Linked DNA regions of Coturnix japonica. The protein of the gene in region 4 interacts with the protein of the main gene of each other region in a pairwise test. Links are inferred from orthologs where the notes say so. Each region holds a gene or a part of one and is shown on either strand. Other genes may lie near its edges. The genes, in order: UTP25, RAB39B, RAB3IP and RUFY1.

The links.
Region 1: the proteins of RUFY1 (region 4) and UTP25 interact in binary tests that used the Homo sapiens proteins (3 or more experiments, as listed by UniProt). The link is inferred for Coturnix japonica from reciprocal best matches to the Homo sapiens genes RUFY1 and UTP25.
Region 2: the proteins of RUFY1 (region 4) and RAB39B interact in binary tests that used the Homo sapiens proteins (3 or more experiments, as listed by UniProt). The two-hybrid records come from large-scale screens. The link is inferred for Coturnix japonica from reciprocal best matches to the Homo sapiens genes RUFY1 and RAB39B.
Region 3: the proteins of RUFY1 (region 4) and RAB3IP interact in binary tests that used the Homo sapiens proteins (3 or more experiments, as listed by UniProt). The two-hybrid records come from large-scale screens. The link is inferred for Coturnix japonica from reciprocal best matches to the Homo sapiens genes RUFY1 and RAB3IP.

What each region holds. Positions count from the first base shown.
Region 1 is NC_029518.1:20,192,072-20,200,117, forward strand, and holds the start of UTP25 (digestive organ expansion factor homolog), read right to left. Parts: upstream 4,128-8,046; 5' UTR 2,482-4,127; coding exon 2,381-2,481; intron 1,230-2,380; coding exon 1,190-1,229; intron 269-1,189; coding exon 19-268; intron 1-18. Other genes in the region: MRPS10 (28S ribosomal protein S10, mitochondrial), read right to left, coding at 4,361-4,447, 4,709-4,798, 5,807-5,915, 6,340-6,479, 7,951-8,023. UniProt on the Homo sapiens protein: Component of the ribosomal small subunit processome for the biogenesis of ribosomes, functions in pre-ribosomal RNA (pre-rRNA) processing. Essential for embryonic development in part through the regulation of p53 pathway.
Region 2 is NC_029519.1:13,300,272-13,306,477, reverse strand, and holds the end of RAB39B (ras-related protein Rab-39B), read right to left. Parts: intron 4,463-6,206; coding exon 4,036-4,462; 3' UTR 2,937-4,035; coding exon of another isoform or gene 2,926-2,936; 3' UTR 2,054-2,925; coding exon of another isoform or gene 2,046-2,053; 3' UTR 842-2,045; downstream 1-841. UniProt on the Homo sapiens protein: The small GTPases Rab are key regulators of intracellular membrane trafficking, from the formation of transport vesicles to their fusion with membranes.
Region 3 is NC_029516.1:32,273,547-32,281,051, reverse strand, and holds part of RAB3IP (rab-3A-interacting protein), read right to left. Parts: intron 5,441-7,505; coding exon 5,312-5,440; intron 3,082-5,311; coding exon 2,969-3,081; intron 1-2,968. UniProt on the Homo sapiens protein: Guanine nucleotide exchange factor (GEF) which may activate RAB8A and RAB8B. Promotes the exchange of GDP to GTP, converting inactive GDP-bound Rab proteins into their active GTP-bound form.
Region 4 is NC_029528.1:4,495,432-4,502,854, reverse strand, and holds the end of RUFY1 (RUN and FYVE domain-containing protein 1), read right to left. Parts: intron 7,198-7,423; coding exon 7,030-7,197; intron 6,199-7,029; coding exon 6,101-6,198; intron 5,641-6,100; coding exon 5,521-5,640; intron 5,017-5,520; coding exon 4,887-5,016; intron 4,511-4,886; coding exon 4,416-4,510; intron 4,283-4,415; coding exon 4,234-4,282; intron 4,032-4,233; coding exon 3,954-4,031; intron 3,312-3,953; coding exon 3,168-3,311; 3' UTR 2,622-3,167; downstream 1-2,621. Other genes in the region: HNRNPH1 (heterogeneous nuclear ribonucleoprotein H), read left to right, coding at 38-173, 302-385, 473-541, 776-868, 1,359-1,483. UniProt on the Homo sapiens protein: Activating adapter involved in cargo sorting from early/recycling endosomes. Regulates retrieval of proteins from endosomes to the trans-Golgi network through interaction with the dynein-dynactin complex.

The DNA.
Region 1 (8,046 bases), on a different chromosome or scaffold from region 4:
CATAGCAAAAGAAACTACCTTCTTCCTGCTCTGGTACATTATCCTGCTCTTCTTCATCTCCAACAGCTTCTTTGGGCTCCTGGGACCCTTCACTGTCCAGCTCTGCCTCACTCTCCTCAGCTTCTTCTGATTCACTTTCATCTTCCTCCTCCTCACTCTCAGACTCAGGAGATGCCTTCAGGGTAGCCAGAAGCTTGTGATAGACAGAGACTTGTTCCACCTCAGTCTCTGAATCGCTTTCCGCACTTGATTTATCAGAATTGTCAGACTAAATGTGAAAACAATTAACAGCAGCAGTCCATTAGACAGCAAGCAAACACCCTCAGCTCCAGCTCCCATACTACATTTCCTTCTTGTCATTCCAGCCCTTTGCAGATGCAATGAGATTTTCCCCTAATGTCCATTCTATGTGAAGAGTTATCTTGAACATTTCCACACAGATTCTGAAAGGACCATGGCAGACCCATGTCCTGGTGTTTTTTCTGCACTGATTTGACTCAGAGCATCACAAGATTAGTTTCTTTCAGCCTTGGAGAACACATTTGTTCTCGTGGACAAACAGGCCTAAGAACAATGTGCCAGGTTACAGCCAACATCACAGCAAAAACAGGACTACAATCACAGCACCATTCCTTCTTAGCTCCTTTCAGCACAAAGCGAAAACTCAGTAAATGCAATATAAATGCAAAAAATAAAAATAAAAAAGTGCTTAACAGATAAGAGTCATTCATTACTTTTTCCACACTACAACTGTGAAGTCTTTAACTGGTCTGATGACAAAGGAGGTTCACAAGTCCTAACTGAAAGAAAACTGAAGCACTGTAATTTGAAGAACAGAAACGAGCATCAACATTTCTTCATTCAGCAGAGAACAAAGCATCTCATTCTCTAACTCAAGCACCACTGTGTATTAATAAAATAACTTACAGCATGTTTCACTTTTTGCCAGGGCTAAGTAGCATTAAAAGACAAACAAGAATAGCAATATTGTATCCCGTTTCTTCTGTTGTCTCTTGTTGTTGCAGTTACGAGTTTGACACTATACAGAACAATTTGGAATCACAAAAAAAATCATTCATTTTTTCCTTCTAAAAGCAGGTTTTCTAAAAGGAACAACAAGAAAGGCACAGCATTCCACTTCGCTGAACCATACAACAAGTAAAGTGAGGAAGAAATAAAAATATATTACCAGTTCACATATTTGAGTTGCTTCTGGTCTTCCAGAAACCCTGAGAAAAAAAAAAAACACAAAAATATCTTGCTGTCAATGATATTTTGCACAGAATAAACACAGATAAGAAAAGGAAGAAATTGTTGAGCCTCAGAGCAGTTGAAAGAGAACTGAGAGGCAGAGCATCACACAGCTCTCCTTAAGGAAAGAGTCAGGGCTCACCCTGACAAAATCCTCTGAGCTGATGCTGCAGCCTGTGTGTGAAGCCCGGGTGCATGCGATCACAGAATCACAGAATGACCCGGGTTGGAAGGGACCTCAGGGTGACTTGCAGAATCAAACTCTATAATCCAGAGATGGGTTATAAAGCAGGTATGTTTATTCCAGTGTTGCACAGCGCTGGGTGCAAGGGGGATAGCTCCTCCAAACTTGCACAGCGACTTGTAAAATAGTGACACAGATATAGGTACATTTAATACATAGTCAATGATTTCTCAGAATTCTAATACATAGTCAATAGTTCTCGGAATTCTGATACATATTCAATAGTTCTTTAGCATGCAGACCCCCTCTTGTTCTTATCAGGGGGAATGCAACTCCTCTTCTGGGCATCCATGAGGTCTCACTGCTTCTCTGCATCCTCTCTGCTCTCCTAGGCCCCTTGTTTCTTTTACTTGTTACCTTTAAGTTTCCTTTACTTATTTCTATGAACTACCTTTAAGTTTCCTTTACTTGTTTCTATAAACTACCTTTAACTATCCCCCTTTTAGCCCCCCTTTATTCCGAATTTTAGCGGAGCATCTGCTTCCTGCTTCACTGTTCAAAGGATCATGTAGTTCCAACCCCCCTGCCTGGCAGGGCCACCAAACATACACCTTTACTAGATCAGGTTGCCCAGGGCCCCGTCCAACCTGGCCTTGAACACCTCCAAGGACGGGGCATCCACAACCTCCCTGGGCAGCCTGTTCCAGGACCTAACCACTCTCCTAGCGAAGAACTTCCCCGTAACATCCAACCTAAATCTTCCCTCTTTTAACTTAAAACCATTTCCCCGGTCATGAAGGGCAACATTTTAAACTCCCTCCTCAATTCCTGGGGGCTGCTCTCTGGAGCACGGGCTCCTACCCGGGGCACTAAGCACTGACACACCGAGAGGGGTCAACAGACACACGTGCTGCGGGCAAAGCTCATCAATCCAGCAGCGCTCACCGGTCGCACACGGGGTGCTGCTCCCCGAACTGCCGCAGGTGCTTCCTCTGCCTCTTGCTCAGGCCCCGCACCAGCTCCCTGCCGCCACGCCGCTTCCCCATGCCGGCAGCGAGGCGCTTTACGGTACGGCCGTCAAGGGCGGCTGTCGTACTGTCGTACTGCCGTGTGGCGGCGTGCTGAGTGCGGCTGCTTGTGTGGGTTAACGTTTTCCTCAGCTCCTACCTAAGCCTGATCCTATTAAGGGCTGATAACTAAAACTCAGCCAACTGAAAAGCCACACTGACCGGCCGTTTAGTCAGAAACCGAAGGCCCAGAATAGAACAGCAAAGACAATAAAAGACAGCCCTTTAACCTTACTGAGCATCCAACTAGGAGGTGTAAGACTTAGCGCCCAGCACAAGCGCATTGTGATACTATATACAGCCGGGATTTGGCAGGTGGCTTATGTAAAACTAAGACATGTCAATTGGAAGGAATTTGAAGAAAATATCATACAGAATTGAAAGAAGCTGCTCCTCTGGGGCATCATTTAACCAGGTCAGCACATACTTTCTTCCTTACTGTTATATAACTGATATGATTTTAAGAAATGCTATTATTACTAAAAGGAGGAGCAGCTGGAAACTGTGGATAGCAAATAGTTTCAAGGGATAACCAGGCAGTATATCTCCTTCTAAGGGATTTGATTAAATACTTTTTTTTTTTGTTTTCTGGGGCATATTGCAGAACACGCTCAGGCAGCTTCCCCTCTGTCATGAATGGTATCAGTTCTACTGTCTTGAAACACCCACTAAAACAGCTTTGGGCCTCTCTACAACTAGAAAACACAGCTGATCTTCAAGCACAAACTTGGCTTCTCATCTTTCAGCTATTTCCCATTAAAACTGTGTACTTCTGTCTGATAATAACACTAAGCTTCTTTTCTTTAGTGAATGTGAGCTTAAGTACTGCCAGCAAGTATGGTCCAGGCTCTTTAGCTGTCTGGTCATAGGCATTATTTATGTGAATTACTTTAACAGTAGTTAAATTACAGTCAAAATAGGTTTCCACAGCTCTGTGCTACTGCCAGCCTAGTAAAGCCAAAGTGCTTAATGCAGTCTGAAGCCACTGACTGTTCTGCATCTAGCAGTGTCTCTTTTGATTCACAGCAAAGTAACCCTCAAGTTAGCTGAACACCCTTTTGCTATCTGTACTGTTTTTCTCCCTCTAAGCATAACCAGTGTTCAGCTAGACTAGCTTTACTGAATAACCAACCCACCACTTTAGAAAGAGTGGTGCCATGAAATAAAGTATTTAGTACACTGTTTGTCCTATGTACAATGATGCTCTCTAGTATCCATTTACTTTGCAATGTGGTCTTACAGCTACTTAATAAAATTAGACTTAAACCTGTAAAAAGCTGATACTTGTACTGGAATCAATGTGTTGTTCTTTTAGCAAACAGTTAATACTGGAAGTGACGCTATTGGAACTGTAAGAGCATAGAAGAGTCTCATCATGCCTCAGTGTTCCTTAAGATTGCATTCTCTGACTTGTTGCGTGTTAATATGCAAGCTGAATATGCAACTGGGATTTACTTATTTCAAAGCAGCGCTATCAAAAGAACATCTAACAGTTTGGCATCCCTTACCTTAAATATTACACTAACGCCAGCAGGATTTTCTAAGTATTTCAGAATTCAGACGCCACTCATTATCAAATGGAGATCTAGGTTATTTAGGAATATGCTTTATCTTTCTAATAACATTACAGATGATCACGATTTTTGATCAGAGTGTGCAGTCAAGCTTCTTCACTTCATACATGTTCCATCAGTCTACAAGTTCTGGAGCTACGATCAAGAATAACTCAGTAAAACAAGAATATACATGATTATTTTATAAAACAGGACATTTATTTATCAGTTTATCAGACTGTCTTAGTAATTGAGGTTGATAGGAGCAACTAGTTCCAGTACCAACACCCAAATACCTGGTGAATTCATGATTTCACTTCTGTTTCTTCTGCTTGAGGTAGTGTATCCCAAACTGGCTCCTGGATGTGTTCAGGTATTTTCTCTATCTTAGTCTAGTACAGAAGGAAGGAAACGATTTATTATATCAACTAGTCAACATCTAACTGCTTTGCTTTATTTTGGTTTCAGATATTTATTGGATTAATAGTGCCACCTAGTGACGTTTTTCAGTAATACATCCTCCTTTTAATAGTAACACAAAATGGTCTTTACAACTACATGTGTATACTGACTTTCTAACAAATTCAGTAATTATTAGTACTTGCATCTGGATTTAATCTCACAGCAGTTAAGAACATGAGATGGGAACTTACCTTTTTTACTTCCATGGCAACCCCTTCAGGTAAGTTTCGTTCAACATACTCTAAGTACACTGCAGCGGTACTGCCCGTGAGGTGTTTTAACTAAAACAGAAGTCATGTGTTTTATTAATGAAGGATAATACTTCAAACAGAATATAGAAAAGGAGGAGTTTGCTCTGACTTCTCTAGTTTTTGCAGTGGGTCCAAGCATCTTACACTAGGCCAGCTCCCATAGAATTCACCACAGGCAGGTAAGCAGTATGTATCTTATGCAAGTACAAAGCAGCAACTTCATGCAGAACTGTATATACTGTGTGTTCATACGTATTGATTATGATAGAAATGATGGACCTTAATACTGCAAGTATCAGATCAAACTGTGTGTTATGCAAGAACTCTCAGATTTGCTATACCCCTCAACATTCAAACTGGATAGCAATCCCCCAACTCCAGAATTTTACCACGTTCTTGATTCTAGTTTCTCTTGGAAAGCAGAAGTTGTATTTATGGTCTGTGGGCAGCCATCGGCACTGCTCTACTGTCTGAGCACTGAGGGCAGAGACACATTTCACTAAGCACAACTATACCATAATAGACCCTAGAGGCCACAAAATGCCAGCAGTAAACTTCTTCTAAGAAAATCAACCACAGCTGCATTCTAGACCATATATATGTCTGCGTCACCAGCCACAGAGCGAGTGGTTTGTACACACTTCCTTTCTGGTATTTCTCCCCTTCCAGTTTTAGTTTGTCACATGATGCTGCACAGGGCAAAAGCATTCAAAATATGAAGCAAACTCATGGAGAAGAGAATGCTCAGTGACTAGCAATGACTGTAACTTACCTGCAGCATCTTCCCTTCCTTGAGAAAGTTCTTATCCCACAGATTAGAAATTGAGAGCATAAAATATATAAAGGTAACTCTGATACCTACCTTATTTTTAAATCATTCTTCCATATACTTGTCAAAATCAGCCTTATAGGCAGAAATTAGATGGACTGTACATTCAGAACAATTTCTGCTACATTTGATGTACCTACATCAGCTCTCTCTTACTATATTCCCAGCACTACCTAAATCAATATTTCTTCCTTTTACATCTTTCTTACCTCCAAACAGGTGTAATGTGTTCTCATTTCATACTGAACTCTGTGCTTCTTGTAAATGTGTACAGATTTTAACAGTGTAAGTCGTTCTATCGTCTTTGGAGGTCTGTGTCTGAACAAAGTAGAAAGAGAAAATGTTGTAATATTGAATTTTACATAAATGATGTTAATATAAATTATCTGAGATTACAGTGAAATCTGCTCTTATCTGACATTTAGAAGATCCACAAGGCAGTATGAAGTACTGGTACAGTTTAGCATTAACACTACAGCAGCACCGATGACTGTAACAAGAATATTCCTGGTGTCTTTCACGCAGTTACAATGCAATCCTACTATGGCAGCACTGCAAGTAGCACTGCTTCTGCTTTCTCATCCCCACACCACCATCTGGGAAGTGTCAGATTTATATTTTGAGAAAGAATGTCAGATTAAACTCATTTCTTCTACAAAAGGAAAATACTTGTAAGCGCGGAACTAGAGTTACAGCAGATGATGTAAGAAGCATCACATCGTGCTACAGATTGGTTACTTACACTTTTTCAACAGTTATGCCAAGTTCTTTAGCTGCCAGCACTGCAAAATACTCATAGCTGTCCAACACAGCTTTATCGTGGCCTTTAACTAAAAGGGACAGCCTCCGGTAGAGTATTTCTGGTTCATCTGAAATAGACACCTGTATTTTTTAAGAAAAGGCAAGTGTTACCACCCCATGTTCTCCTTTATTAACCCAGTCACTACGTATCTTCTTAGCCCATGTGCCCCATTTGTAAAAGAGGAAAAAAAATACACATGCACATCTCTCACTGCTCATTTGATATTTACCTGCAAGAGGATAACTGTATTAATCTCAATCAACAGTCCTTCATCTTACTGTCCCTGCTAAGTGTAAAGGGAAACCTGACTTCTGAATATTCAGGCAAAATTTCTCAATCAAGAATGCAAAGGGAACGCCAACTAAAAGGGCAACACTTGCAAAGGCAAGAAAAATAACTTCTTTTTAAAGCAAGTCTGGAGCAGCAATATGAGCATTTTAAATAGAAGTGTGAAAATACATGAAATTCTCAAGTTTTTCTTGGTTATCATTATGGTCAGGTACAAGAATTCTCACCTTCCTAAAGTAAAGCTATGTAAACACACCAGTCTTCTCCACACATATTATCCTTCCTATTTGCCCAGGTTAGAAGTCTATGAATCTCAAGTTACAATTTTATGACTGTTAGTTTGACCATTCATTTCTAATGGCCTGGGCCCACTGTTCATCTGAAAAACCCTGGTTTACTCCCGTGCAGTTCAGAGCAGTAACTCCAGCACACAGCAGACATATCAAAAAGGTTGAGTTTGTGTGGTGGTTGAACCTGGCAGGCAGCTCAGCACCACAAGTTGTTCACTCACTGCCCCCTCCCAGTGGGGAGGGAACTGAGGGGGAAAAAAAACAAACCAACAAAGTAGAACTTGTGGGTTGAGACAAAAACTATTTACTGCAACAGAAAAGAAAGAGGACAAAAACAATAGTAATGTAATACATAAATAAATAATATAAAGAAATATGTATCTGTGTATTCCTCTCTCACTCTATACGCATACACAAAGCAAGGGATGCACAGCACATCTGCTCACTACACACTGATCGATGCCCAGCCAGTCCCCAAGCAGCACCAGCCCCTCAGTCAATTCCTCCCACTTCCAAAGCATTTAGAAGCAGATGCCCTATGACACGGAATATCCCTTTGGATAGTTCAGGTCAGCTGCTCCTGCTCCTTCCCTGTACCCCTCAGTCCTCTCGCTGGCAGAGCAGTAGGAGAAGCTGAGATGCTGAAGCATCCATGGCTCTGTACAGTGCTGCTCAGCAGTAACTAAAACATAGATGTGTTATCAACATGGTTATTCTCCCAAAGCCAAAACAGAGACACAACAAAGGAGGAAAGAGACAAAGAGGTGACTGTGAGCTACAAGAATCCTGCTGAAAATACAGTCTCAAACAGCACTAATCTAAACTGTTTCTTACTCTAAGACCAATTTGACATTATCAAGACTTAAAAAAAAAAAATAAGCCAACGACCTGAAATAGAGGGATTTACTTCTTATCTCTTTTCTCTTTATAATTACAGTGGTATACACAATACCTTGTTCTATGAAACACTTACCAGAGGATTAGTCTTAGGCTCCTCTGTATGAACATGGGATCCAGAGAATCGTCCTCCCATCAAGTCAAAGTTTCTAGGTTTATGGTAAAGGAGAGA
Region 2 (6,206 bases), on a different chromosome or scaffold from region 4:
ATGATATTAAAATAGTAAAACTAAACAATTGTGGCAAACACCAGCTTTTGTGCATCTTTCTTTGTAGGAGAAAGTCATGAATTTGAGGTATGATATTCAGTTGCCCTCTCGTCACTGGGGTAGGGGAGTTGAAGCAGCTGTGGAAAGCATGGCTGCAGGATGGCAGAGTGAGTGAAATGGGGCTGTGAGTCAGAGCACCTGCATTTGTGAACACAATTTTCTCTTGTATTTGGAATAATGAGATCCCAACAGGCTGGAGCAATTCCCCACAGCACCGCTCTTCTAGCTGGTCCTAAGGCAGCAGTTGCTTCTCTTTGTTGTGCACAACAAAATGATGAGTTAAGCATTTATGCACTATCAAAAAACCCTACTGTGCGCAGCTCCCAATGACCTAATGCTGGGTATTAGTGTGAGGGGGGGAGGCAGCATTAGGGCTGCAAGCACTCAGCGGGATCAAAATGTATTTGCTGGCCCTTGGAATAACACATAACTCTTGGTTTTGAATAGAGGGTTTTGTTGTTGTTTGTTTAGCACAGAGTTGAAAAATTCTTAGACAACTCTGGCTTCCGTCTGACTGATCTTCATCCAGTGTTGCCCTGTTTTTTACTGATACATTTTGTTACTTGGATTAAGAACAGAAAGGTCTCATACAGGAGCTAGAACAAATGCCGCCTGCTGTGAGGCTCCAGTGGGAGCTATGGCTCCTTTGGCTACTGCAGGGAGGGCGCTGCTGGTATTGGAATGGCTGCCATTCCTACAGCTGCACTGGTTTTCTCAGCACCCCAACCTGCTGGTTTTGCAGATGTGCTCCATTGGCTGTTATAGAAGAATGTACAGCAGGTACCATTGCAAAGATCCTGTTTATTGTAGAGCTGGTCCATACCAGATTTCCAGTTAGGGCTGCTGTACAGAAGCGGTACAGGTATGAGACAGCTTACTGATAAGGAGCAGGGAGGGGGGAGAAAAAAAACCCAACAGTCTCTTTACAAGTTTTACATTTCACAGTATCACATAGTAACCATTTTGCTAAATACAAGCATATTTCCAGTCACATACAGACAGCTAAATACAGCATTATTTTCACAGTTCATTACAGTGCATAACAGAAAGCGAGGAAAGTGTATAGTATGTTTTTATTCCGGAGGCTCAGAGCAATTAGAATCTAACATGCAGATTGATTTAAGTTAGCTCTTTGTTTCTTTTTGTCCTGGAGTAAAAGAGCTCCTGACCTTTGTCCCGTGAAAGGTTCTGACCTTTGATTTCTCTACAGCCCTCTTTGCACCAGAAGTCAAAGCGTTAAAAGCGGTTGTTAGAAAAGAATGCTCAGCACATCCTGTAAGTTCTGCATCTTAGAAAAAACATTCCCAGTTTTGTACAGACGAATCTACATTTCCTATATTTTAATAAGCTGCCTAAAAAAATGCAAGGAGTTAGAAAAAGATGTAGAGAACCATTTCTCTATCGTTTCATATAACCATTTATTTATTACCTCTAAGTAGTTAGGAATGCATACGTTTCCTTCTGTACTGTTTCTCTTCAGAATTATGACACGTATTTATAAATCAAGTACTGGCTCTGTAGGCCTGAACATAACGTGCTTATTGGGGCTTCCTGGAATTCCTCTCTGGGAGCTGAAAGACTCAGAGAGAGAGAAGCGGAATGTCCAAAGCCATTCAATAAAATAGCAGCTGTCTTGTGAGAACTGAGCTTTTCCTGCACAAGCTCACAGGTTTTACTCTTGCTAAAACTCTGATCTTTTCTACAGTCCTAACTGCCTTTAATGAAGCTCTCAGGCTCTGCCCTTAGGACAGCCACTGGTCAGCAAGGCAACCTAACCACACCCTGTGAATAGCCAGACCTCAATAGAAAGAAAGAAGAAGAAAACTGACCCTTTCATACCTGTTTGCCCTCGTCTTTGTGAGAACAGGACTAGCAGTCCCGGTCTGAGCAAACCTTGTGCACCCCACCGGCGTCAGCAGAAGCTGAAGGTAGAGAGCCCATGGTAGCCCAGCTCCTGTGGTGCTCTGCATCAATCTTCTCCAGCTTCACTTACCTAGAAAGAGATTTTTTAAGAGATTTCTTTTTTGTACCTTCATGTTACTCAGCTCGACCACCACCGAGTGTGCCTGGAGTCTGATGGGCCTCAGCACAGCGCTCTCGGTGCAGGTAGAGCCTGTTCTAGATGGGCCGAGTTCTGCAGCAGTGAGCAGCTCAATGAGAAGTGCTAGAGCGGTGCCACCCCTCCCTCACTCATTTGCTCCCAGTGCCCTCCCAGCAGCTGCAACACTGCTGCTCCCTGCAGTGCTGGGGAACTGAAACTGTTCCAAAAGTGCTCAAATGAAATTGTAATCCATCTTCAGGGTGGGTTCTTTTTATATACAGGAATCATTTTAAATTCATACAGACCAGCACAAGTGCTGCAAACTATGAGAAGAGGCTCAGGGGAGTCGGTCTGAATTCAACACCACTGAAGACTCACACTATCCCATATGGAGGTAGCTTAAAAAAGCTGTAACGAGTATCTTTTGTTCTACATAGAGGCCTAAAAATCAAACACCAGGTGCTTCCTGTGGTTTTACCTACTCCCTCCTGCCCATCAACTCGGTGTGTAGGGCTCACAAACTGGAGTTAAATGGTCACTGTTGTTTCTGTTTGTTTTAAATAGGTTGAACTTTGCTACAGGTTACCCTGCTGCAATTGTAAAGCTGGTTAAAACTTAGAGGAAACAAAGCATGCCCAGAAAATGGCCACCCACGTACAGCCTTTTTAACAACAGCTTCCACCCGCAATGACCAACCTGATACGGATCATCTCTTGTCAAATTAAAACAAGGAGGAAAACCAGTTTTACTCTTGAGCTTGTCTTGGGGCTTATTCCTTTTCCTCCTGCTCACACACTTCTGTTCTGTGCTCCTCCTCCTCAGTTCTAGTTCTCTTCTTCCACAGATGCCAAGAAAGAAAATGACACTTTAACAGCAGAAAGTAGTGATGGAAGCCATTGCTTTCCATGCTATTCAGCTTCTTTAAAAGCAAATCTCACCTTGTGGATGCACCTGAATTAAGCTTTTCAAGTTTCCCCTGCCCTGCCCAATTCTGTTCCATTCCTCCTTGTGGCCCCAGCTAACAGAGCACCCAATACGTCAGCACAGTGCTGTTAGCAGACAGGTGTTGGTGTGTCCCACCTGGGTGCCAAGCTCCAGCCTCCAGATACAGCGGGTGAGTACGAGGTTTCCTGTTTATGCTCCCATTCACTTAATTACACTGGGAATCCCTGACCTGGGGTACACTGAGGTACACGGTGAGGCAGCAAATATTGAAAAAATGCATTGAATAATGACTAATGCAGCAGGCGATGCCACTCAGAATCCCAGCTGACAGCATGAAAAACACCTGGGGAGATCATTTAAATTGTAATGACCAATCAAATGAGTACTATTATCCTCTTAAAATGCCACAGAATACTCTACTATTGAACTAGGTTCAAGAATGTAAGAAAAACAATTCAGAAGTATGCATACCACATCAGGAAACTTTTCCTATGCCACTGGCCTTAGGAGGAAATGGTACCCATGCTGCCTTTACACCTTCCTGGTATTAAGCAGTTGATGCAAACTCGGATGTCCTTTTTCTTTCTCTCTGCTGCTTGTTGTACTACAGCACTATCCATACTGTGGCTTTAGCACACAGCACGGCACTATAGATTGGCTTAGAACAGGACACGTACAGCACTGTGGCACATCCAAGCCCATTCAGATCTCATTGTGTGCTCCGCCCCCTTCTGCTGTCCCTCGCTTCTGCTTGCGGTCTCGTTACAAAATCTACATGCACCCTCACTCACTCTGTTAGGTTTGCAGCCCCCAGTTCTGAAAAGTTGTATGGAACAGAACATTTATTCCCTGGGTCTGTTCTCGTGTCCAAAAAACTGTGGGAGGCCGTTCACAACGGGAGCGTTGCTCTCCCTTCTGGCACACTGAGTTCACTTAGTAAAGTACGTTTGGTTAGTAGAGTTCATCACCACTTCTCTCTCTAGACGAGCTCAGCACAAGCACCTCCTATCTGATTTCACCACTTCTTCTGAAGAGTGCACTACATTTGGGACAAACCCACTCTTTACCCCTTCCCATCCCTCCTGGATCGAAATTTCCCCCCTTTTAACAAGCTCGTATATATCTCGAGTCAGATCAGTGAAGGCCTTCTCCACGTTAATGGCATCCCGAGCGGAGGTCTCAATGTACTTCATACCATAAGCAGCAGCCAGTTTCTCAGCCTCGTGCCTGGTGACTTGCCGCTGCGTGTCAAGGTCACACTTGTGACCCACCAAAACAAAGACGATCTGGTAGGGCTGGACGTGCACCTTGGTCTCTTCTAACCACTCGTGGACGTTCTGGAAGGACCTGCGGTTTGTAATGTCAAACAGGAGGAGTCCACCGACCGAGTTCCTGTAGTAGGCTCTGGTGATGGACCTGGAAAAAAAACCATCCAAAGCAAACGTGGAAGTCCCTGCTATTTGGGAGGAAGGGCACAGCAACTTTCACTTTTTGCTTTTTTTCCTGCTTGCTTTTTTGATTCTTTTTCCTTAATCCCAATGTAGCACTTTGCTATAGAAGGCAGCATTCCTGCCACCCTGCCTATCCTGTACATAGGACAGAGAATGCTGCTCAGTCACATCTCGCAGTTTTGACTTGTGCTCTGCACATCTTGTCATTCACAAACACAACTAATCCTGGCGTAAAACTCCATCCCCGGGTCGCTGCATTGTGGATCTGTTATTACTCCGCCACCAATTCTGGCTTCTCTATCACAGATTTCCATATTCTCTTTGCCATTGGCCTAACGAGGCCCCACCACACCAACTCAGTACTCCATGTGGTTTGACTGCCCCACTGGTTTAGAAGCACTGTAACAGCTCAAAGGATTTACCTAAAGCCAAACACCTCCTGGCAGATACATAAAAGGCAAAGAGGGAGGGCACAGGTCAGAAGGCAGAAGATGGAGCTGTGCCCCTAAAAAGCCCCCAGAAGGTCCCGCAGACCCTCAGGCTGAGAAATGGAAAGCGTTCCCCACAGACTGAGGCAGCCTGAGCAGCACATGAAGTCAGCCAACAAAGCTCTGCAGAGAACACAAAACTGAGCAGAGCTACTACACGTGGAAATAAACAAGAAGCTGTAAAACTGTGCTGTTTGTGCAGAGTCATGGAATAGTTCTACATCCAGAAGCACTCGTTGATTTCAGTCCCTGAAGGAACTTACACAGGGACCTGCACTTTTTCTTGCTGGGAAAAGCACTGCTACTTCTAGCTTGGGACGACTCTTCCTCCACTATGAACATCTGTTGTTAGAGGTTATTGTGCTACCCCCAGAAAGGACTCTCTGGCGTTTTCAAGGTTTGCTTTATCAAAAGTCACGCAGTGATGGGTGAAAATCCAGCTAAAGAAAAAGAAAGAAAAGGAAGGAAGGAAAGAAAAAAAGCAGAGCTGGCTCGGCTAACTTTCCCTCTCTGGTTACTGGCCCCGGGACAAGAACAGCTCTGCACATTTGGGAACAAGAGAATCAGCTCTACTGTTTGCTCTCCAGCTGCAGACATGGCAGCACTCTGAATTGCTCCCCATGCTGTCACAGGCACTTCTGCTTCTCCCGTGCACCAGCACAACAACCCCGGCTGCTCCTGCCAGCACCAGCAGCGCCTCAGGTACTTCTGAGAGATGTGACAGGATCTGAACAGAGCTCTGCGCTGAGGCAAAACTGGGTGAAGGTCTGGGTGCCTTTCCTTAAAGCCTCTTCCACACAACATCTCTTTACTGATGTGCAGAAAGCAAGATACGCCGCCTCCCTCTGCACCTCACTGCCCAATTCCCTTTGAGACCCTGCTCAGCTCTTCTGTAGGTGCTGGCACATGTTCCCAGACAGGGAGGGCTGCACACACTTTTGCTTTTGTTAACATTACGGCATGTTTCAGGCAAGAAACTGGAGTATTTGAGCAACCTGCGATGGGCACAACCTGCTGGATCCGGGAAGAACAGAACCCTGCTGTTCTACAACTCCAAAACAGCCTCAATGCTGACCCAAAGAGCATCATTTGGGGGCTGGTGACAAAACAGAGGCACGTGCTTAACTGCAGATGAAGCCCTGACTGCACAGGAATAGCTTCTCATTGCCAGAGAGTGAGAGAACTCACAACAACAGTCAGGAAGAGCAAAACTGCAGCACA
Region 3 (7,505 bases), on a different chromosome or scaffold from region 4:
TTAATATCTCACACTCTAAACATACACAGGTGTTAATGTAATTACTTCCTATCTGCATAGGTACTCAACTCTGCCTTAATAACTGAAGCTTACAAAATGATGTCATCAACTACTCCAGCTTGACCAGGACAAATTTTGTTCCAACATTAGCACATCATACTATATTCCCATTTTTATATCTTTTATCAGCATTGGTCAGACGCTTTCACATTCATGGCTTCAAGTCTGACAAGTCTGGAACAGCAGGAATTCTTTAACTCTATATGTGGAATAAGCGTTGTTTGAATGATCAGCAGATCCCAACATTTAAAATGCATACCAAGAAAAAAAACACAAGCCCCAAAGAATAACAGTCAATGCACAAAGCCTCTGTCAGATGCATTCTAAGATCAGCTTTGTATTTATGCCCAAAGTGAAATCACATTTTTTCATTCAGAGTATAAAAGAACTTGAGGTGAAGGAAAACAGGTTGCCTGTAATAACTCCTTCCATTACCATTACAGAAAGTGATGGCAAAATAATTACGTTTACTTTTTCCTGGTGTACTGCAAATAATACTGTTCACGTATGATAATACATGAACGAAGGAAGGTCAGTAGTCAGAAATTCTTCAATTCCAAATAACTCTTCCAGTATTATTTAGAAAAAAAGTTTTACATCTCTCTTGAAGAGGAAGCCGCTATTAATACTGTCTTAATAAATGTCAACACAGCAGGAATTTGATTTGGAATTTCTATATCACAGCATCCCAGATGAACTGGCTTGTCAGGTATCTTCTGTTCCACTGACTTCAAAAGCTTCTAGATTTCCTCCCATCTCTATCTCACAAAATTAGGGAGTCTTAAGAAGCAGCCACCTTTCAAAAGTGAAAGAAAAATTACTAAGCTCACACAGTCTCAATAGCGGCCTACAAGCCCCTTTAATAGTCTGCAGCTGGTCCACAGAACCGTGCAAGACAGGAGAAAACTGAAGAGTGTATATGATTTTCCACAGTAATTTATAAGGACTGACATTGATCCAAGAAATTCTATAGTAGCTGAAGCAGGCTGATCACAAATGCAGTCAAGCCTTTGTGAGCAAATAGATTTTTAGTGCCAAGAAAAAAAGCCCTCTTTCTTCTTCCAGCAATAGATTTACCTTCTATACAGTGTGTTGCCATCACACCAGGTTAAATGCTGGAATGACAGCTATTACTAATGACTCAGTTCTGCACTGTACAGCACACATGCAGCTTAGTGCTTTGTTCCCCATGGGGACAATTACTTGAATCCTGTGGGGAAACTCAGCTGTATTTCATTACTACACACCACCACTGGCACCATTCAGTAACTTTTGTATGTCAGGAACCTTTCTTTACTATATCACAGCTCCCTGACCTCCACTCCTTGTTTTGTTGTAGGGTTATTACCCACTAGTTTATGCATCCGTTCTTCCCGTCCCCCAGGCAACTGGGCAATAACATTATTCCTTTAGGGGTATTATTCCAGTTACTGTTATTATTTATTTATGCTGCTTGTCTGTATTACGTTACCTATTAAAGGACATGGTTTCAATAAAAACAGTGATTTTCACCACATAAAAACAGAAAATGCAAAGCTGCTACTCTGATTAAGTGAAAAGTGAAACAGCTGCTTCCCATCCAGTGCCAGTAATATTTAAGGCAAAGTACATTTGCTGTCAAATTAAGTTTACATACTGCATATTCCTTACCTATTACTTAACCACAAGCAATCATACAGAAGTTTTTGTCACCTCGTGACAGTTGTAGAAGAGAGGAAAGAGTAAATCTTGACATTCAACATACCTAATGTAACTAAATTACATTTTCTGCAGAGACATCTCAAGAAGTTAATTCCTACCCAGCCAACTACTGAAGGATTACATTGGAGAATGCAATACAGCCTCTTTAGAGAGAAAGCAAAAACTCCTTTTGACACGTTAAGTGTATGTTCTCTGCCACTCAAAACTGATGAGGAAAAATGAGAATTGAAAAACAGCAGCAATGAGGAAAAAAAAAAACTTATGTTGATCCTGATATTCACATTCTGATTCAAGTTCTCTACCAGAAAACTGAGCTCTAACAACAACAAAAAAAATATTACAGAGAAATATTAACTCTGCTAAACATCTTTTAGGCAAGAAGTCAAGACTTCCTATAGATGATCTTATAGGTCCTTTCCAACCTTGTGATTCTGTAGGTGACTGTGGTTACCTCAGGACTGTGATTACTGGCCTTACTTGCTTAACCGTGACATACTCTAAAGCACACTACAAATCCCTTCCTCTTCACATTCAGAGCCCCAGAGCCTCAGGCAAGTCTCTCTCACTTTACCTTAACAACTACATCAGTATCTAACATATAAGACTTGCTTCAGATTCCTCTAGGACCATCCCAAACTTTCTAAAGCAATCATCTTGCCATTCAACCACATTTCCTTATGTTCAAACTCACCCTCACCTTTACTCCCTCTTCACTACATTCCTTCTGCTCACATTCAGAGGGTTTACTTTACATACCTCCTCTCAAATACTTCAGCTGCCTTTGTGAGTATGCTCTGTATGCTCTGTACTTCTTAGGTTTCTTATCCCACAAATAACTCTAGCTCTCTGATGTTGATCCCACACTACTTCTATACCTTTTTCTTGAACAAGTGACAGCCCCTAGTTCAGAAATCTGCCTTAAGAATCAGACTGATCCTCTCCAAGGAAGAGAATGCTTCTTTTACAAATAAAAGGGAATTATCTTTAAAAAGGTTAATATAAAACAAACCTTTTACATTTGCATTATTAGTTGCTTACTTCCCCCATAAAAATTTTGCAGCAGTCCTGAAGTCTGATATTTTAATAAATGTTTACAAGTATAACATGCACAAATTTCAATGAGGTGATCAGTTAATAACTCTGGTATTGAGAATACAGTTATCTCAAATGAGTCCAGATTTCCCCTCTGTCTGTTAGCTTAACATACTTTGGTCCCCCACATTCAACTGCCGAAGCTTTCACAAATCGAACAGGTTGCAAGCCGACAGGTTCAATGCTCAGAGTGTTGTTTTCAACAGCTTCCAGAACAGCTGAGGCCAACTGCAAGAGAAATGTAGAAAGCAGTTAAAAACAGCTCCATGTGATCCACAGCCACAATGCAGTGACACATTTCTGTCTCTCTTAAGTTAGGAACACTGAAGAAGTCAACTAACAAAACACAAATTCAATCACAAATAAGATTTTGCTTGCTTCATACACAAGAATTCCTAGGCTTCAGTTTAAATTCTGCCCTCCAAATAACCCTACCCAGCCCTCAGGCAAGCTGACTGCCTCTACAGCAGGGAATGTATGGTTAGCATGCTAAGTACATATTCAGTTATTCCTCATACATCTGAGCAGGACACACATTTACACAGTGATTTTACCAGATACTGAACATGGCTCAAACTTTGTGTATTTAAAAAATTGCTCTTGTTTTATTGTATTCTGCAGGAAAAGGGGAGAAAAAAACAAAACAAAACAAAAAACAGCAGGCAACTTCTGTAACTTGTAAAACAAAGTAAATATTCACCTATTTCTCAGGCAAAAATTACTTTAGAAAGACATTCAAACATGTAAGATTGATCAACATATAAAAGAGACAACAGGTTATGGTAACTTCAGAACACTAGTTTTGTTAAAATATCACCTTCATAAAGGAAGTGTAACTTCCCTCAGGCTTTTTTATGTTATTTCTTTATAAACACACTAGAAATATGCTCATTTTGCTTGACTGAACTCAACAGTTGTCCAAGATTAGTGTTTAAGTATGGACAAGTAGTAGTCATTACTTGATTTAAAATAAGGTGCTATTTATTTTATTTAATAATTCTTTGTCCACGTTCCTTTGCTACTGAGTAATAGAAAAATATTTCTATTGTACTTTGAACATTTCATAATTAAAATGTTACTACAAAAGTGCTTCACACAAAATATTCTTCCCAATATTATGTGCTAAAAGCAAAGCAGAAAGCTACACACATACACAAGTGGCTACAAAGAGTTGAAGTATTACTTCAACCATTTAGATAACTGCATTTTCAATTATTCAAAAACATAATACATGTCACTTATTAACTACATAGCAGCTCATTGATATTCAAAGGAAAGCACCTCACTGTGTACAGCATTTGCACACACTGACTTGTACAGCTGACCTGTGCTAGAAGCCTTACTCTCTCCTTAAGAGGAAATACAAATACAGTAACTGTATTGCCACCGAAGTGGAAGAAAACAAAACCAAGCTGCTGGGAAAGACAACAGGATGGCCTACTTACACACAGTGCAGAAGTAATTTAAATTCCCATAGTAAGTGAGCAAACACCTTAGTAGGAGAGTTTCATACAATGCTCTACACCAATCACAATGAACTACCATACAATTAACTACAAGATCTCTCATACTTATCGCCAGCAGGTAACAGCAAGTGAAGAACATGGGAAAAGTGCACACACCGTGTGAAAATAAGAGACAAATTTGAGGAAAATATACCACTTTTCCTATGTGACTTACTTAATTTAATTGGGGACGGGAGGGAAATCAAGTCTGAGAGCTTTAAAATTTGTTAGTCTTAATCAAGATATGCAATGCTGTCTCCTCTTCCCCTGGAGACGGATACTGCAACTATAGCCAACAAACGCTGCTTAAGAACAAAGACCAGATACTGAACTGCAGCTGGAATCAGTTCCATAGTATTTCCAGCATGAGTACAACGCCATTACTTCCTCTGTACCAGGAAGGAAGAAGAAATGGAAAAATAACACAAAGAAAAAAGCCGCATTGTTTGTTTTATCTTAAATTACATCTCCAAACTGTCCATGATAAATTACTTCAAATCCTAAAGTCTAATTCTTGCAACACAAACCTCTCTTCAAGAAGACACCTGTTCTGATTAATCAGAGAAAACAGGTCCATAAAAATAGGTATGTTGGTTTGTATTGCTTCCTGAATAAACAAGGGCCAGTGACAAGACACGGTTTCTACTATATGGGACCTCTGACTTAGGGGAAAACTCATCACTCCTTCCTACAAACACTTACTCTGATAGGCAGTATTAACACAGAAAGAGGTAGACAGCCTCCACCTAAGAAAGCCACATCTAAAATAGGAAATGGAAAAGAAAAACTGATCACTTCAATACTCCAGACCAAACTTGGGTATTTCACTGTAAACTTTCATACTCCGGTGAAACAAAAATGTTTGAACTTCATACGTAAATTAAGATAGTCTACTGGTTCCATGTAACATATTTAAATAAAAAGCATCAGTGACAACACTTAAGAGTACATACCTCACTTTTTGAGAAGGTTAAACATGGAAAAATATCTTCCCGATAGATTTTGTCCAAGAATGGGCATGTTCTGTCCATAGTAGGCTCATCCTTCCATGATCTGAATTCATTGTACAAAGACAGGTCAGCCTAAAACACACAGAGTCGCAGATTTTAAATACTGTAATTATCACACTAGCAACTGGCCATCTACAGGTATCCACAGGTAAACAGTGATCATTAAAACTCAGTTTTCTACCACGCTGTAGAAGAATACTATTATATCCCAGCAACAAACACCTTCAACTCACTTTCCCAAGATGCGTGGTACCACCTTGATTTAGCCAAACTGGCTTTGAGATTGTTGACACAGACTTCAGCACCTTTTCACTCCAACTGGCTGTTAAATCCTATTCTTGTATTGTAATAGGTTTGTATTCCTAAAACCAAAAGGGAATACAATGAAGGGAAAGACACTGCAGGCCAAACACAGGCCAGGAAGGTTAGAGGCATCAAAGACCACGCAACAAAAGGAAGAAAATGTCATGTAGAAAAAGTGCCTCTAGAAATGGCAGGCAGTCATGGAGAATAAAGAAAAAAAAACACTAAATGCGCAGCCAAAGCACAGAAGACAAACAAAAAGGTTACTAAAGTGGAAAAATGAGAAGCAGATCCTAATGCTGCTCCCTCTGCGGGCTTCTTAGGTTGCTGCTCCACTCCAGAGTACAAAGAGAAGCAAAGTGAATGCAAAAAGAGCAAACAAGAATGAAAAGCGGTATTTTGGAAGAAAACATTTTCAAGAAAACACTAGACATATAAATACTGCTTTCATAATATGTATCTCCATAAAGCCAATGTGACTTGAAAGTCTTGGAATATCAGAAGCAACTAATACAGACAGGAGCATGAAAAAATGAACACATACGCTAGGAGCTGAAACTGTTTTTTAATCCATTTTAAAAGAGCAATACACTGCTTTGAACCAGCCTCTTTGGGTCTTTTATTCTTTACCACCCCTTCTCTGAGTTTCCAGCACTTAACCATTCTTTTACATTTCAGGAAGATTTTTTATGGCTTTTTTCCCCTCCCCCTCCCTCCTTGAAAAAGAACCCACAAAAATTAGACAGGCAAATTTGTTTTCCATTAGAGCTACTTGTCTTGCACTCAGGTACAATCAGGAACAACCATCTTAATTAAACTAGTCCATAACTGTTCTGGTTGCTAAGCCACCAACCTCACTGCACAAATGAAACTCAATAGGTGTAACTTGCTCCCTGAATGAACATTTCCTATACCTTAAAACCCACCTAGGTTTGGCTTTAAAATAAATACAACCACGAGACATCAGCAGGAAAAAAACCCGCTATTTTAGAACTAGACAGCAGAAATCAAGTGGTAATGCATTTCTTAGTAATTACTGATTATTTTCTACATCTAACAAAACTTCACCCAAATATACAATTTATAAAAAAAAAAAAAAAAAGCTGCCTTGAAAAAATTGCTCAATAACTATAGCTTGATGTTCCTTCTTTCCAACCTACAGTGTGCTATGTGTATATCTGCACTCTGTCTTTACTTGCACTTCCACTAGATCCAAGTTCTTATTACCTGCAACAGAGAAACACTTCAGCTTTTGGGAGAATAACATAAATCAACTGACACATTTAGCTTTTACATTGGGTATAGATGCTCAGTTTATCTAAATCCTGTTCATGAATTCTGAATTAGTTAGACACATCCACTTATCCTTGAGGTTACTCGTGCATAATAGGAACTATCTGTCTGGGATGTTGGTACTGTTGGGATGGATTTCCTGCAGTTTATCCTTTACACATTGACCACTTTCTTTCCATGGGAAATTGAAACAAAAACAGATTTTTCCCTCTTCATGCTCTTGGCCCAATATTTAAAACCTTTATTTAGTCAAATCCTCAATATGATGCTTACAAAGTAGTTAGATTCCATGCCAGTTCTCCCCTTTTTGTTAAATCTTTCTGAAGAGCAAGAAGATCAATTTAAATAAGAAAAATATCCTGAATACCACTGAAAGTAAGTAAGCAGGATTTTGGGTTGTTGGATTTTATTTTATCACTGGAAACATAACAATCCCTTCTCTAGATCTTTAATGAAAAGACAGATAGTATAAATTCACTTAATGATGACTGACAAAACAAAGTATAAAAATGACCATTGTAAATCATATTACAGGTCTAGT
Region 4 (7,423 bases):
ATATTGGTGCATTTTAATCTGTGTGTTTTGTATATAGTTCTTCTCACCTCTGAACCCTGTAAGAGTACACATCGAGATCGGACCAGATGGCAGAGTGACTGGAGAGGCGGATGTTGAATTTGCTACTCACGAGGATGCGGTGGCTGCCATGTCCAAAGACAAAGCAAACATGCGTAAGTGTAACTGTTGTGAAGGGGAAAGCACAGCCCTGCTCTGTGCAGCATCTGCTGCAAGTTGGATGCCCAGCATTCTGTTGCAGCGAGGCTGGATTTGATGTGAAGTGCTCTCACTTTTCTTTCAGAACACAGATACGTCGAACTCTTCTTGAACTCAACAGCAGGAGGAACTGGTGGTGCCTATGGCAGTCAGATGATGGGGGCGATGGGTATGTATATAAGAGCTTAATGTTGAATGGAGTTGGCTAATTTTGCTCAGCTTCTGCTTCAGTGACTGGCATAAATCTGAAATGCAGCATTATATCTTAATGCAGTCAAGGAATCCGAAGGGGTGGTTCAGGATTGGAACACTAGCACGTTGGCAGGTAAGTCTTGCATGATGCTCTGTTGCTGTAATGCACCTACACTCTTCTTTATACCTTGCTTTTCTGGTTTCTTAGACCTTAACAAGGCGGGTGGTGTTTTGGGGTTTCTTTGAAGGGAGCTGGGTATCTGTATGGGTGTAGTGCTGTGTCTGTAGTAGGGTAGGGTAGGACTGTTGGTAACAGGCAGACTTGTAGACTGCCCAGTTTGTAATGTTTGTATCCTCTCCTTGAAAGGAAGCCAATCCAGCTATGGTGGCCCAGCTAACCAGCAGCTGAGCGGGGGTTACGGAGGCGGATATGGTGGGCAGAGCAGCATGAGTGGATACGGTAAGTCCATCTGTTAACGGGCTGTGGGACCACAGCCAGCACCAGCATGAGGCCCTGCTCATTAGTGTTTGCGGGCAGCTGTGGGGAGGGGGCTGCACATTCCTCAATGAATTGAGAACAAGGGGGGGATAAATTGAAAGCAGGGATAAATTGAGTGCTGAGGAGAAGCTTGCTAAATCAGTTCCAAAGTGCATGGGGAATGCTTAACTCTGCTGTGGGTACTGGAGATTCGCCTGGTGTAAATGCACCAGATTGAATTGGAGGGGAGGGAGTACATGGGGGGAATGGGTTCTCTGCACAGAAGGGTCACAGAAAATGCTGGGGCCCTTGGAAATTGGGAGGGCAAGTGCTGGCTCATGGAGCAAACCGATGGGATTTTGGAGGTGCTTTAAGCTGCAGTTCTCAGTACTGAGCAGAGATGTTCACAGCCAGGTGCTGTGAGAGCTGATGGCTGCAGCCTTTGTAACGTGCTGTTTGGTTTCCACCCCAGACCCAGGGAGTCAGGGCGCCATGAACAGCAGTTACTACAGCAGCGGGAACCGCGCGTCCATGGGAGTGAACGGCATGGGAGGGATGTCCAACATGTCCAACATGAGCGGTGGCTGGGGAATGTAACCAATGGCTGACTTTTGGTCAAATCTTTTTTAAAAAACAAAAAAACAAAAAACTAAGTTTAACAGTTTTGCAATACGAGCTTGTGATTTATGCTTTACTGTAAGTGAAATCAGGATTGTTATTTTAAACCTTTCAGGTTGGGTATTTTTGAACATACAGAATGAACTTTCCTCTAGGACGTAATAACCCCGTTGAGCAGAGACTATAACTGTTAAACAACTCGGAGCGTTTCTCAAGTTAGTTTTGTTGTAGGAGTGTATTTAAGCAGTAAGCGTATTTAGGTTAAAGCTGTTTGAATTATGTTAAATGTTGCTCTTATACCATATTACATCTGACACTGTTTTGAATACATGTTGGAGAAAACATGCTTTTTTTGTAAAGAAACGATATAGGAGCTGTGTCTGAGATTCCAAGTGAACATTTGGCATGTTAGTTCTAGTTTATTTCTTTTAATACCCTGTAAGGCACGTTAAAGCTTTTTTTTTAAGTTAATGGGGGAAACGTGTTGAGACGCAATACGGCTACGTTAGGATTTGGGTCTTGGTGTTCGTATACAATTCTGAGGCCTTGATTTAATCTTTCATTGTATCGTGATTTCCTTTTTAGGTGTATTGCGCTAAGTGAAACTTGTTAAATAAATCTTCCTTTTAAAAACTGGAACTCATTTCTTCTTGAACTTCTGCCTTGAGATGTGCCAGTGCTGCTTTGTAGTCAGTCCTTGTGCTGCTCTGTGACTTTCAGGCTGGAGGAGTGGAACTGTGTGGCCGTGTGGGTGTTAAGTGACAATTGTTTCTCGGCCAAAAGCAGAGTTAGTGAAGGAAGGTGCTTCCTGTTGTGGGGCTGCAGTGTGACAGCCTGATGTTGGCTGCATAACGTGGTTGTGAAGTTGCAAATGAGGGCTGGGGGATAACGCTGTGTGTAGCTACAGGCATCGATGCTTTGGAGCCAAAGTGCCGGATCAATGGACTTTGCAGCTTAGTGCAGCCGTGTTTCAATAAATCAATTTGTCAAACAAATGCCATGCTTAAAGATGTGGTTTTATGAACAGTTGGAGCCTAGTGACGTGGCAGGGCAGCTGGTTCTGTGCATTTAGACCTTACAACGCTGATGTGGTGTTAAAAAAACCAGAGCGGAGGGATTCTTTCTGCAAAAGGCTTTTATTGTGCAGCTACCACACTGTGCTCACAGCTACCTCCAGAACCAGTGTTCGGGTGTGATTTTTATTCTGAATTATACGGAAGGCACATTCATGGACACGCATAAAGCTCTTTCCATAGACAGTAAGTGAACATTCCTTTTCTTAGCTCAAATACAGAACTGTACGTTAGCCATCGTAACAGGAATGCCTACAGTGAGGATACAGAGGGACTGAAGTTAATGTACAGAGAAGTAACTTCTAGAGGGATGGAGTGACTAGAAATCCCATATACAAATATTAATACAAATATCTTGTGTATAAAAAAATCAGCAAATGGATTTGCGTTTTAGTTTCAAATAGAACTTGAATGGAGCTCAGGTAATACAATTAGAGTTATTCCACTTGCATTGCCCCCACCATTCTTTGATACCGACCCGTCCCAACGATGGAGAACAGAGCAGACCCTGCTGCAAAGGCGCCTGGAGTTCAGAATAGTGATGGCTACTTTTCCAGTGCTGAGTTGGTCCCTCTGAGGTTACCAAAGGCTTAGGAGGAATTGGATGAGCACCGCTGCAGTAATAAGGTGTGACAGGTATCACAGACACGGACAGGTTTGGGATAGGAGGGCAGTGCGAGCTCGTTGCTGGAACAGGAGTTGCAGAAGATGTCCCCACAGTTTCTGCAGTGATGCTACGAGCAGAGAGCTTAAGTAAGAGTATTGTAATTTGTAGTAATTTGTAGAATTTGTAGGACAACTGCCTACAAATGAATGGTACCGAGGAGGTATGGCCAAAGCCTTAAGGGTCCACTAATCTCATCCTCACGTTCCGTAAGCCCACCCCTTACAGCGCCATTCCCTTCTCTGCAGAGAAATCAACTCAAAGCAGCATGGTCCATATGCAGCTCAACTTTCCAGCTGCCACGAGCTGCTCTCAGCCTGAGCTGGCCCAGCCATCGGAGCTGCCCTGCTGCCCATCAGCTGCTCTGGCACCTCTGGCAGGTGGGCCCTGCCCTGTTCCTGCAGGTACACACAACTGTCCTCATCCCCTGCAACTGCAAGGCACTGAGCTCGGCCTGTCAGCTGCCAGTCCTCACACTGAACTCAGCAGGGAATGAGGACAAATCACACTGCAGGAGAACATAACCCACAGCAGCCTCCAGCCAAGGAGAGCCCCCAAGCAGACAAGAAGACATGCTGTTCTTAGGATGGTTAGTTACCTGTTCAGTTACCACACCCACAAGTTCTTAGACTGAGGCAGAGTCAGCAAACAATACAACAGCACAACTTCTCTTTCCCGAGAGAAAAAGAAGAAATGCAGTGAACAATGTTACCTTTCTTCTTGAGATAGAGAACTCCTTTTCGCACTGCTTGCAGTGTGTTGCTTCGTCATCTTTCAGCCAGGTGTGACCCTGAGAAATGGGAGCAAAGGGCTCATGTTAGAGGTAAGTACAGTCATAAGGCTTGGAAGCAATTTATCCACATTGTTTGTAATTCTTTTTCCAAAAGCCATCTTTTTAATGTAGGATAAAATAAGAGTTATCTGTGGGGAGCACTGAAGGTGTTAAGTGAATTGCATGTTTAAGCCCAAATATCCACAAAATAATAGAGTACCTTTAGTGCTTTGTTTACTTCTTTAATGTCTTCCATCTTCAACTTAGATCTGGGGGGGAAAAAAAGAAGAAATCCTCATGTCTATTTATTTTTACAAGTGATGCATTTTAAACTTCTTTGTAATTCATTTGAATCCCCGTGCTCCCAGTCACGCCACCCCCAGCTGAGCTCCCAGAACTCACTGGCTGAGATGAAGCCCCATTTCTTGCAGAGCTTGTTCCTGCTCCTCGCAGACTTTCTCCAGCTGCTGCTTCTCCTCTTGCAGTTTTCTCAGCTCCTGTAAAATCAAACACAGAAATCAAGTTTGGGTGCTAAGTGTGACCTGCAGCACACTATGCAAAACACCAAAACAATTCACAAGCATAAACTTCTTCACAAAGCTGCTTATTTCTAAGGGTTCATTTTTAGCTTTAGATGGGGGAACCACCCATGGATTCCTGCAGAGTGAAAACAATGAAATCATTTAACAATATTTACCAGAAAGAAAGGGAAGATTTTCAGGCTTTAACCACCCTTGAGCACAGCCAGAATGCAGCAGTTCTATGCCCACAAACGCAGTGAAAAGCCCATCCAACTCATTTGTTCTCAGTGCTTGAACATCGTTTCAAGTCAGCTTTAATTCTGAGCACTGGACATGTCTGCACCATGTGTACCTTTTTCAGTCCTTCCATTTGTTCCAGTTCTGCTTTAAGCAGAGTGGCAGCGTCCTTCTCTCGGTGCAGTTCTCTTTGCAAAGTCTGCCTCTGTTCCTTTTCAGCTTTTAATTCCTTTTCCAGAGTTGAGCTATTTAAAAAATAATGGATTCAGAGGAACTCTAGAGCAGAAAATCATCCCATGGTATTTATTGATATCAACAGTATGAGAAGAAAACTTGGCCTAAAGAGGACAAAACCTACATCAGTATTCTGGCAAAGGAAAGAACAGAGGTGTTACAGCAGCAGACAAAACCAGCCCATAGTAGTGTTTAGAGATTACAGAAAACAAGCAGTAAAAATGGTGAATAGCCAGAAGGGCAAAAAGAAGCAACACCACCATCTCCACAAATGTCTGATTAACTATTTGTGTTTCAATGGCCACGTCTGAAATGACACTAAGTGCAAACAGCAAACAAAACATTTTAGGTATTACAAGCCTAAGAGGATAAGAACACCAAATCCCGATTCCTGAGGATGATACACTAAGCCTGCACAGCTGAGCACTGAGAGCACTTCTTAACCAAATAGCAGAAATGAAGGAAAATAGTAATAAAAAAAGGGAGAGCGATGAGATGAAATACCAGTGCAATACCATTTGCCATCCAGCTGGGACATCTGTTGCTGACAGGTGCCAAGTCTGCTGGCGAGCTCCTGCTTCATCTTGTTGCATCTTTCCTCTGCAGCCTGCCTTGCCTTTTCTGCATGCTGCAATCTGCAAAGTAAGGAACACACAGATTTGCTGACAACTCACATTCTCCTCATCTATTCACTGGCATTTTGTTCTGTCCCATTTTTAATGTAGATCTTCACAGAGAGTAGAACTGAAGGTACCAGCAGAGAAAAGAGAACTCCTAGAAAGCTGTTTCTGTAAAACACAGAAGCCACACCTGTGCTTAAAGCAATGTGAACACAGTTTTTAAACAGTCTGCCTACATAAGAGCTGTGATTTTCAGCTGAGTCAACGATGTGCGTGTCTGCTTGGGCACAGGGAACAGACAGGCAGGAAGAGCAGTAATAGGGGGAAAAGGAAGCAGAGCACTGTGCTGGCACGTATGCCCAGGTGTCTGTAGGAGATGTTTGAGAGTGTTATACTGAGAAATACAAAGCCATTCTATAATGATCTCAGCCAGAACCCTTCTGCTGACCAATGGTATTGAGCTTCTAATTATTACCTCTCTTCCATTTGTTTCATAGCAGACATCATCTCGCTCGTTTTTCCTTCAAAAGAAGATATTGTTTCTGTTTTCTGTTGTAAAGAAGACTCTGCGTTCTGCAGGAATAAAGCAGTGGGATATTGCAGACAATACTTGGTAGTTTCCTGAGGTCAGGCAGTCGCTACATAAAGCCTGTTCAGTTTGTGACAAACCGTGCCCAGGTTTAACTGCAGTGTACAAACAAAATGCTGGTAATGGCAGAGCAGACACTCCTCAACTGCTCTGTTAAGAGTTCAGAACAAGGAACTTGTTTACAACAACATTTTAACTTAAGAGATCAGCTACAAGCCAGAAATCTTCTCTTAAGGAGTCCAAAGAAAGTGTCATGGTATATTTCAATGTTACCATTTACGTTACTATTGTGCAAAAGCTGGACTTAAAGGGCATTGTATAGCAGGGAAGAAAAAGAAACTGTCACAAACCACCAACAAAAAGCCTTGGCTTTCTGTCGGTTTAGTGAAAGTTGCTGTTCTTTTGGTAAGCACTGTTAAATGTGGTGCAACTGAGAGGCAGGCTGACACAAAGGGAAGCAGCAACAGGGCAGTTCTGGGCTGCAGGAAGCAACTGTGTTTTTGAGAGCCTGCTCTTCTGGTGGTCAGAACAAAGACCCTCAAAAGCAGCTTCCCTCCCTGCCAGAGCTCTGTGTTTCTCCATAACATTTCTTGGATGATCTGCAGCACATGGCTCAGCTCAAGGAAAGTCCTTAATTCCAAAAACACCCAATCTCGTATTAGTACCAAAACTTGGACAAAAAGGAAACCAAGCAACTTCTAAAATAGATACTCCCAAGAAAATGGATGCAGCTATAACTGCAGATGCACACCACGTACATTACCATCACATCAAGGCCATCGCTGCAGCTGCTCTGCTCTCTGCTATGCACATACCTGGGACTTGTGAAACATCTGCAAATTAATTGCTTTCACTTCTTCTAACTGTTGGCGAAGTGCAACCAACGTATCTTGTTTTTCATGAGTATCTTTTTCCAGAAGTTTCATGGCTATTTCCATTTCTGTTTTCATTCCAATCTGTAGCTCCAGTTCTTTCTCCAGTTCCTTACAAAGAGATTTCCTAATTACTGGGAGGTAATCACACCAGGGAGAAGTATTCCCCAAACCCATGTAAAACCAGACAGAAATTCTGCATTCCTCTCTTAGGTACAGACCTACAGTGTTACAGAAAGGTTAGGTCTCAATACAGTATGTTAGAAGGAGCTAAAGACTATTTCAGCTCTCCAAATCATGGCAGCAGATCTGAGCTCTTGCCCTAAGATGTAGAGCT